Linked DNA regions of Oryzias latipes. The protein of the gene in region 1 purifies or fractionates together with the protein of each later gene. This does not show direct contact. Links are inferred from orthologs where the notes say so. Each region holds a gene or a part of one and is shown on either strand. Other genes may lie near its edges.

Region 1 (4,459 bases):
CTTTAGTGGTGTCAGAGTACACGTCTGGCACGTTCCTGCGCATACGCTAGCAGGACCACACATGTGCAGGGTTTTTGCTCCAATTTGACCTCATTCATTCAGAGCTCTCCCTGAAAATGTCTGCTGGAAGGGGTTTGACGTGTGTTTCTAAAATCAAATATTACATTAGAGGCTGTGTATTTTTTTAATCAATTCTTTCTATCATTGTGAATGCTGTACTTTGATTTTTTTTATAGCTTTTTTACAGTGTCATACACACCCCTAAACCACCTACGCTCATCTGAAGGTGGTGTGTTTTTATTTTGATAGGATCCATTCTTGGCACGGCCGAGTCCAGTCGACAGGAGGAGAAGGAGGGATCTGAAGAGGAGCGCCCCGAGTCACTCCTTAAAGCACTGGCTGGCAGCATGGTAAGCCAACTCCACTACTAGTGGGGATTGTAAATGTTAATGTTTATTTTGCTGTAGATTGCAGTTTTTATCTGGTTAAGAGCTGAAGGGGCACGAGCATTTCAGGTCATGTGATAAGAGCGCTTTTCAGGTCTTTGTGTGTTGAACCAGAGGCTTTGTTATGGAAACGCCCAATGAGTAAAACGGCAAGTTTGGGTTTTTTTTCCCAGAAAATGTTGCTGCAAGTTTAAACTCGACTCAAAGTCTTGGAGACGAGTTTGAATTTCAAAACTATATTGATGTTGTTCAAGGGAATACAGTTCAATTTTATTAGTTTCAATTAGAACATCGGATTTGATCATACAGTAACTTATTATAAAATATTATCCTTTTTGGTTGTATTCTCCTGTTATTGTGTCCACAGTTCCCATAACTTCAAACATCTCCATCACAGAAACATTTATTTCTTCTCATTTATTGACGCGATTAGAATTTTTGAACTTGTTCATCTTTGATCTTCTCTGCTTTGTGCTTATAGTCCCACTCCAATCATCTTTTGATCTATTTCCATAGTATTCTCACTAGTCTTTTAATTATACCGTTTAAAAATAAAAAATAAAAACCTGTGTGCTTTGTTAGAAATTAGCCTCTGAGTTGTGGGTGAGACTCTTGGCACGAAACCCCCACCCCCACCCGTTGCTGAGAGCTCACAGTTTACATGATGTCCCACTAGCTTACAGCCCCTCACACCCCCCAACCAGTCATTAGCGGTGCGACAAAAATGGCACACAAGCTAAAGTCCTTCATGTGTTCATTCTATATGAACTGAATCCTGTCTGTGATGTCATCTAACGCTAAGAGTGGGAGGTCTGTCAGTAGTCTGAACTGCTACTTGTAGGATAGATGACCAAGATTATCAAGACGTTACACAAAAGATTCTATGAAACTACACAAAAACAAGAAAATCAACTTCTTTTATTGCAGAATTTTTTTTGAGCAATTCCTCATTCTGAGCAGGAAGGCAGCAGCAGTCATTATCTCACGTATTCTTTTCTCAGCAGGGCTGCACATTTGTTGCATGTGGCTGCAGATTCCCACATGTTTCTGCATCAGAGGAAGTTCTGGGCTGCAGGTAACAGATGTTGCACCGCTGATGTGGCTCCCTGCCCCGTGTCTGGGCTCCATGGTGACCTTGACAAAACTCAGAGCTTGTGACATTTATTTAATCCCACTCTAAATTCCTAAAGAAAAAGGAGTACTTGTTTCTAATCATCTTGTCATTGTTGTAAAAGAATGAATACAGAATGGAAAAATCTTTGTTTCACCCTGTAGTGGGCGCTATTGTTATTTAGCCTACCTGATTGTATTATTCACCAAATATGTGAAAGGTGAGATTCATAGAGATTCATGTCAGGTTTGTTTGTATAACAAGTTAAATTCTTGGCATTCATAAAAATGTATTAGATATATGAAATATAAAATAAAAAAAAGACTAATAAAATAATAAATTCTGCCTTCAGAAAGGTGGAAGAAACTGTGATGACATTGGTGGCAGATTCCTTTTGGACAGAGCTTTTCTGAGGCAGAAGCAGGAAGTGCAGCAGGAGGTCGAGTGTCCCAGGGATCTGGTCAGCTGTGTCCACAGAATGTCACCATGGCTGGCTGCCCGGCTCTCAGCCTTTTTGTGGGAGCTTAATTGATCGCAGAGCTGATTAACAAATAATGTGGCCGCCGGTGCAGGCAAAATGACTGCCTTCCTGTGTAGAAGAAAAAAAAAAATGGAATCTGGGTTCAGTTCTTCCCTCATTGTGTAGCACTTTGCTGTGGCTGGAGTTACAATCCTCATGTGTAATCACACCTGAATAGCCGTGGCAGGTGTGCCAAACACACCCAGAGTTCTTCAGTCACAGGAAATCATTCAGTCTTAAGCTGCAGGCGGTTGGACAGCTGTAGAATAAAACTGCATCAGCTCTTAGTTTGTTAATGATTGACAGTGGGAGGCTTTCAAAATAAAGGTTCCATTCTTATGTAGTGCAGTGATGTTGAGTTGATTCAGTTTAGTAAGAAAAATGGTTTGATTTTATCTTGGCCTTATATTAAAGACAGAACGTGAGGATTTGATGCTTTTGTTTGTTCGTTTCTTGTTGTCGGACATGAGGCATGTGATCACAGCCACTGTGCATTGTAGTGCACTTATTTGAAAGGCGTTTCAGAGTTATTGTCCCAGCGACAAACCCTGATGGGTGTTTGTGTGGCTGCACAACTTCATCTCATTTAGTTCCATAAGAGTTCAATGGTCTGGACGAATGGTTCATTTCTGTTGTTGTGTGAACTGACTCTTCAGTCAGCAGGAGAGCTCAGTGAAAGTGAAGCTCTCTGGTTAATTTAAGGTTGCAGTCAGTGCGGTGTGGATATAAAAAGAATATTTGCTTTTCTGTCACCTGTTTTGTTTGAAGTCTTACTTGTAAGATTTTGTGTTTCAAACAGTTGATTTAAAACAATCCTCTCCAACTCCAATAGTGCAACATTCTGCAGCAGCAAACACTAATGAACTATTATTTAAGCGACAAAACGGTAATTTAAAAATGACCAAAGGAACACATTTGAAGATTATTTTTAAGCATTCATGTCTTATTTCTGTCTTTTTTTCTGCAGTTTATCCGAATGTCAACATGTAGGTTAACATCGCTGACTCGCTGGCCTATTTACCTAAAATAAAACCAAGACACAAGCGGACGATTCTGGTTCTCAGTTTCAAACTGGACCCTGCATCACCTTACAGTATTCTTCAAAACTCATTAGGAAAACAAAGATATATGGTTATTAATAGATTTGGATAAAAAGTCATGCCCCCTCACCCTCCGCGGGTGGTTTCTCACCCAAGCCCGGGTCCTCTATCAGAGGCCTTGGAGCTTGAGATCGCTTCTAAAGTAGATAAAAATATCATTAGAGTAGGACTTTACAATCCTTCAGAAGAAATTGCCTGTTTTCTATTTTTTGCTTCTAGGAATTCAATTCGGCTCAATCCATCTGTTGTAAATCATTACAAGAAAACGTTAACCAAGAAAAGACTTCAATGATTTGTTTTCACTTTCTATTTCACAGAAAAGAGGAAAAAAAAGATTTAGAGGAATTACAGGAGTGTGCCGCTCTGTTTAGGGCTGTATTGTTTTGAGGACAAAGTCTCTTTCCATTTTGTCTCATGAGTTTAATTGTCCCTCTGACTGTAGATTCAGCAGGATGTAAAGCAGCTTGTGCACACGCCTCACCTTGGTCTATAAACTAAGTATCAAAGATAAACCTTGATTCAATGATGACAGTTGTAATGAATGACAATACTTCAAGAAATCAAGATTGTTCAGCGATGGGCTTCATTTTTCTGTGCTTTTCAGTGAGACGAATTACCTTTTTCTTCCTGCACAGTAAACTATGAAACATGGTCTATCTCCTTTATTTTTTACTGACTGTTTGCCCTGGAGCCATAAACCAACACACCTGTGCAAGTTTTGTTTTTTAAAAACACTTTTCAACTTGTTTTTGTACTTGTTTTTTTCCAGAGAAGTTCCGCTTTAAGGCTCCGGCAGGATTGAGCCGTTATCTCATCTGACTCTTTTGCGAAAGACTAGAAACAGCATTTGGAAACAGACGTTAACGTCTGAGGCTCAAGATCACCTCAGCAGATCTGTTTCAAAGGTGACGTTCAGGCGTTAGTATGTTTAATACAAGTTCATGCAGCCAGGCTTTCATTTCACTCATTTTATGGGTTTAGCATGTTTGGTCAATGCATACATTTTGAAGTCAGTTGTAGCTTATCAGTGAAAAAGCTTTAAGCTCCATACATCTAAGAGAAAATCAAGAGAAAAATACCACAACACCATGTTAAAAGTACCAAACACCCAATTAAGCTCCAATCATTTTTTGATCTGAAAGAGTTCACAGTGGTCTTTCCATTACGATTATCGTTTTTAAAATAAAGAAAAACCTGTTGTTTTCTAAGACATAGTTTCTGCAGAGTGGCAGGAGTTCATCACAAATTCACCTCTGACTTGTGGGCGTGGCCACCTTTCCCC
Region 2 (3,816 bases), on another chromosome or scaffold:
ACTCCGTCTCATGAACATTATATGGCATTTCCACCACTAGAAGCCCCATACTTTGGGTTTCTAAGGTGTTCCCGTCTTTCTCTTTGCCATGACTTAGAAGTCGTAGCCTGTAAACCACATTTTCCTCAAGTTTTGAACTGGATTTTGCAGCCACAGCGATGTTCTGTCGTAAATTATCAATAACTACTTTTGCTTCTGCAGAGACCAGAGAAGTTTAATGGAGAGCGCACCAGAGACGATCTGGTTGGTTTTGCCATGCAGTTCATCACCACCACCGTCACTCAGCTCTGGCAGGGTGAGATACGACTGTGACCCTTACAACCTCAGCTGAGATCCACTTTTTAAAAATCTTTTTCTTTGTAATGAAGTGTTTGTGACTAGATCTTCACCTTTTCAGGGAACGTCTTCACTGAGATTGAGAAGTCGTTTTTGTCAGGGCTGGGCTGGCTGATCACCTTCTGCTCTGACACAGGAGGTAAACATCAGTCTGCCACAAACTCTTCACAGCTCCCAGTGGAAAGTTTAGCGTCTGTGCTCACCTGGTGTCATGAGACACACGTTTACCATATAGTTGTTGTTTTTAAAATTTTTTAATGTCATTTTAATGTTTTTTTGTGTTCCTCATGTGTTTGTCTCTAAGATTGTCTGGAGCCAAGAACAAGACAGAAGCTGGCAGGAATGCTGGTGAGAATTCTTCCCATCCAGTTTAGTTGAAAGAACGCAATTCCAAATTGATCCAGATGATTCCAGTGCAGCCAAACTATTAGAACTCTAATGATGGCCTATGTTAACAACCAACAGATTAAATGAAAGCATTTTGGGAGGCTACTGGGCATCTATAAGGAGAAACTCGCTCTAAATGGATGAATAGAGACAAGCCTACAGCAGAACCAGACTCAGTAGAGCAGCCAGTTGCTATAAGGAACCAGTTGAGGTCAAAGAGCAAGAACTGGAATAAAACACCAAGGCCTTAGAACAACACTTGCCTCATTTTTCTTCTGCTAGTTTACAACATTAAGTCAAAGACGGTCTTGATGCGCAGAGAAGCATGTGTCCTCAATCTGTGTATTATCTTTAGATAAGTGGCAGAGAGTCTGAAAACATCAGGATTCTTTAGACAGTGGTTAAGAAACTGATCTTATCTGATTAATTTGATCCATGTGTGTCTGCATGAAGGAAGGTCTGGTGAAGATGGGATGGATAGACTGCACCGTACAGCCACAGCTCTGTGACAGTTTCCAGGTAACTGTCAAAAACTTGTTTCCTTTCAGGAATATTTGATTGTTTAGAGCTCTGTTTATGCTCTGCTTAAAGGTCAAATAAACCACATCATCATCTGCAAACTGCTTCTTTGCTTTGACATCAGATTTCTCTCATTTGTCCCATTAATTGTTCTGCTTGTTGATAAGTTTCATATTGTGTTGGTGCATTGTGCAGTGCTGGTATTTAACATTAATCCTCCTCCTTGAGGTGGTGAGTGGAGCGACAGCCTTTTTCCCCCCTGGAAGCTCTCTGGATAAAGAAGGCAGTGTACTGGTAAGACCTGAACCAGTGAAGTACTGCAGAAGTGTATTTTCTATCGCTGCAGCTCTGCCTCTGTTTATGTGCTTCAGTGGATCAAGACTCTCGACAGTAAAGAGATCTACAACCAGGTCCTAAACCATCTACCAGATCTGAAGCTGCTGACTGCAGAGAGTTTTGAGGTACTCAAAAAAAAACGAAATCTCTCAGATTACCACTGCTTTAGCACACGTGTCTAGGTTAGCTTAAAAATACATGTTTAAATATGTTCATGTGCAGGAGAAACTGGCCCATCACCGCTGGCTAATCAGCTTCACATTTAGAGACAGAAGTTCCACCACAAATGAGTACAAGAAGCTCCAAGCGTTTCTGCGAAATGACCACATACAGGTACCTTCAGTCCGTCTGTCCCACTCCACGTTTTTGGCTGTTTTCCTGCTAACAGACTGTTTTTCTGTGTCCAGATCGGCAGAGTGGACTGTGTCGCCGACTCAGAGTTGTGTCATTCTCTCTACATCCACAAACCCTGTGTGGCTGTTTTCAAAGGTCTGGGGATCCACGACTTTGAGATCCACCATGGTCAGTACTGGATCTTCTCTGTCTTGCATCTGTCTACGCTTCACCTGCCGGATCTTTTTATTCCTGCAGAATTAAAGTTCCACTCCGATCCTCTTTTGATCTATTTACAAAGCATTCCCGGGAACATTAGCATGGACTAAGCCTACTCCCACTTCCTGTCTAGGTCTAGTTTACAGCCCCTCACACCCCCAACCTAACATTACTGGTGCCGCAAAAATGACGAGCAATATTGGAGCTATCTAGTTTAGTACCAGATTCCAGCTCAGACGAGGAAAACAAAGACGTTCGTGGATCTGTTTGTCTGCAAGTGGATGCATCAGAATGGAGTGGAGCACGGAGCCCAGCATATTTTCTACGATAGTTCAACGCTCATCTGTACCTTTGCCCTCTCTGCCTGTTTTTGTGACGTGTGTATTTTTGTGACATTGTGTCTTCTTGCAGGTAAAGATGTGTTGTACAACATCGCAGCCTTTGCAAAGGACAGCGTTCGTGCCCATGTGACGACCCTGAGGCCGGACAACTTCCCCTCTGACAGGAAGGAACCCTGGCTGGTGGATTTCTTTGCTCCGGTTTGTACTTTTTTGGTTCAGCATGGAAATAATTTTATTCTCCTTGAAAAATTGTGCCTTAAATGATTGATTATATTTTATAAAATGTTCTTATCATGCGAAGACATCCAGTATTTTAATACAGTCAAGTTAAAGACCACTTTATTTGATTTATAGAAAGGAACAGCTTTTCTGAAGGTGAACCTGAGAAGTCATTAGTTGCCAGCAGCTCCACAGACCATACATGCTCACTTATTGACAGCATCACCACAGGGATCTTCAGTAGCCTCCTTTGACTGGACCTTTGCCGTGTTGAGATGTTTTACCCTTGTGTGGAAAAACTGGCTCCCGAGGCTGCCGTATATATATATTTTTTAATCTAAAGAAAAAATGTCTAAATACAAAAAGGTCTTTAGTTGAGAAAAAATAACTTAACTAGTGTTGGCATGACCAGATCTGATAATCAAACATTAGTTCTGTGGGACCCATCTTTGCGCTTTCAAGTGGCTAAAATCTGTTCATTCATTCTTTTGGGTGGTTTTGGTTTAACTGTTTACATTCCCTGTTTGCTTCCACATAAGGTGATAGAGAGCAGCAGAGGGACCAAAGGCACCATGAAACCTGCTTTTTAAAGGATACATAGGGACTATTTGGAATTACAAAAAAAGTTTTCAACACCAGGCTATTTATATGTTTTGTTTTTGCTTTAAAATCTGAAGCTTTAACATGGGAGTCAATGGAGAATTGCTCCTTTCTGACACCAGCCTTCAGTGGTCTTGGGAGGAACTGCAGGATTTGGTCCTTCCTGCTTTGTATCTGGTTTGAGAACAAAAGTGGGAGTTTCACTCTGTAGTTCCACTCCGATCATCTTTTGATTTATTTTCAAAGTGTTCCCCTTACAACCCCACGCAAACATTAGCGGTAGAACAAAAATGGTGAGCAATATCAGAGCTATCCATCCGTGCAGTTTAGATCCAGATTCCAGCTCAGAGGAGGAAAACAAAGACGTACATGGATCTATTTGTCTAAAAGTGGATGCATCAGAAAGGAGCAGAGCAGGGAGCTCCATCAGTCGTATTTTCTACGTAACAAATACAATATTTTTCAAACAGTATTTTGTTGTCTGCTCCTGATTTACAACAATTTGAATAAAGAATCATTCCAAAAT

The links.
Region 2: the proteins of mtmr4 (region 1) and dnajc10 purify together in Homo sapiens (affinity purification with mass spectrometry; 3 studies listed by BioGRID and IntAct, counting the BioPlex papers as one, with this or other methods). This does not show direct contact. The link is inferred for Oryzias latipes from reciprocal best matches to the Homo sapiens genes MTMR4 and DNAJC10.

The regions. Positions count from the first base shown.
Region 1 is NC_019872.2:20,553,836-20,558,294, forward strand, and holds the start of mtmr4 (myotubularin-related protein 4), read left to right. Parts: upstream 1-1,452; 5' UTR 1,453-1,467; coding exon 1,468-1,521; intron 1,522-4,459. UniProt on the Homo sapiens protein: Lipid phosphatase that specifically dephosphorylates the D-3 position of phosphatidylinositol 3-phosphate and phosphatidylinositol 3,5-bisphosphate, generating phosphatidylinositol and phosphatidylinositol 5-phosphate.
Region 2 is NC_019879.2:12,097,516-12,101,331, reverse strand, and holds part of dnajc10 (dnaJ homolog subfamily C member 10), read left to right. Parts: intron 1-201; coding exon 202-295; intron 296-397; coding exon 398-475; intron 476-640; coding exon 641-684; intron 685-1,176; coding exon 1,177-1,242; intron 1,243-1,470; coding exon 1,471-1,536; intron 1,537-1,613; coding exon 1,614-1,703; intron 1,704-1,800; coding exon 1,801-1,911; intron 1,912-1,985; coding exon 1,986-2,100; intron 2,101-2,541; coding exon 2,542-2,669; intron 2,670-3,816. UniProt on the Homo sapiens protein: Endoplasmic reticulum disulfide reductase involved both in the correct folding of proteins and degradation of misfolded proteins.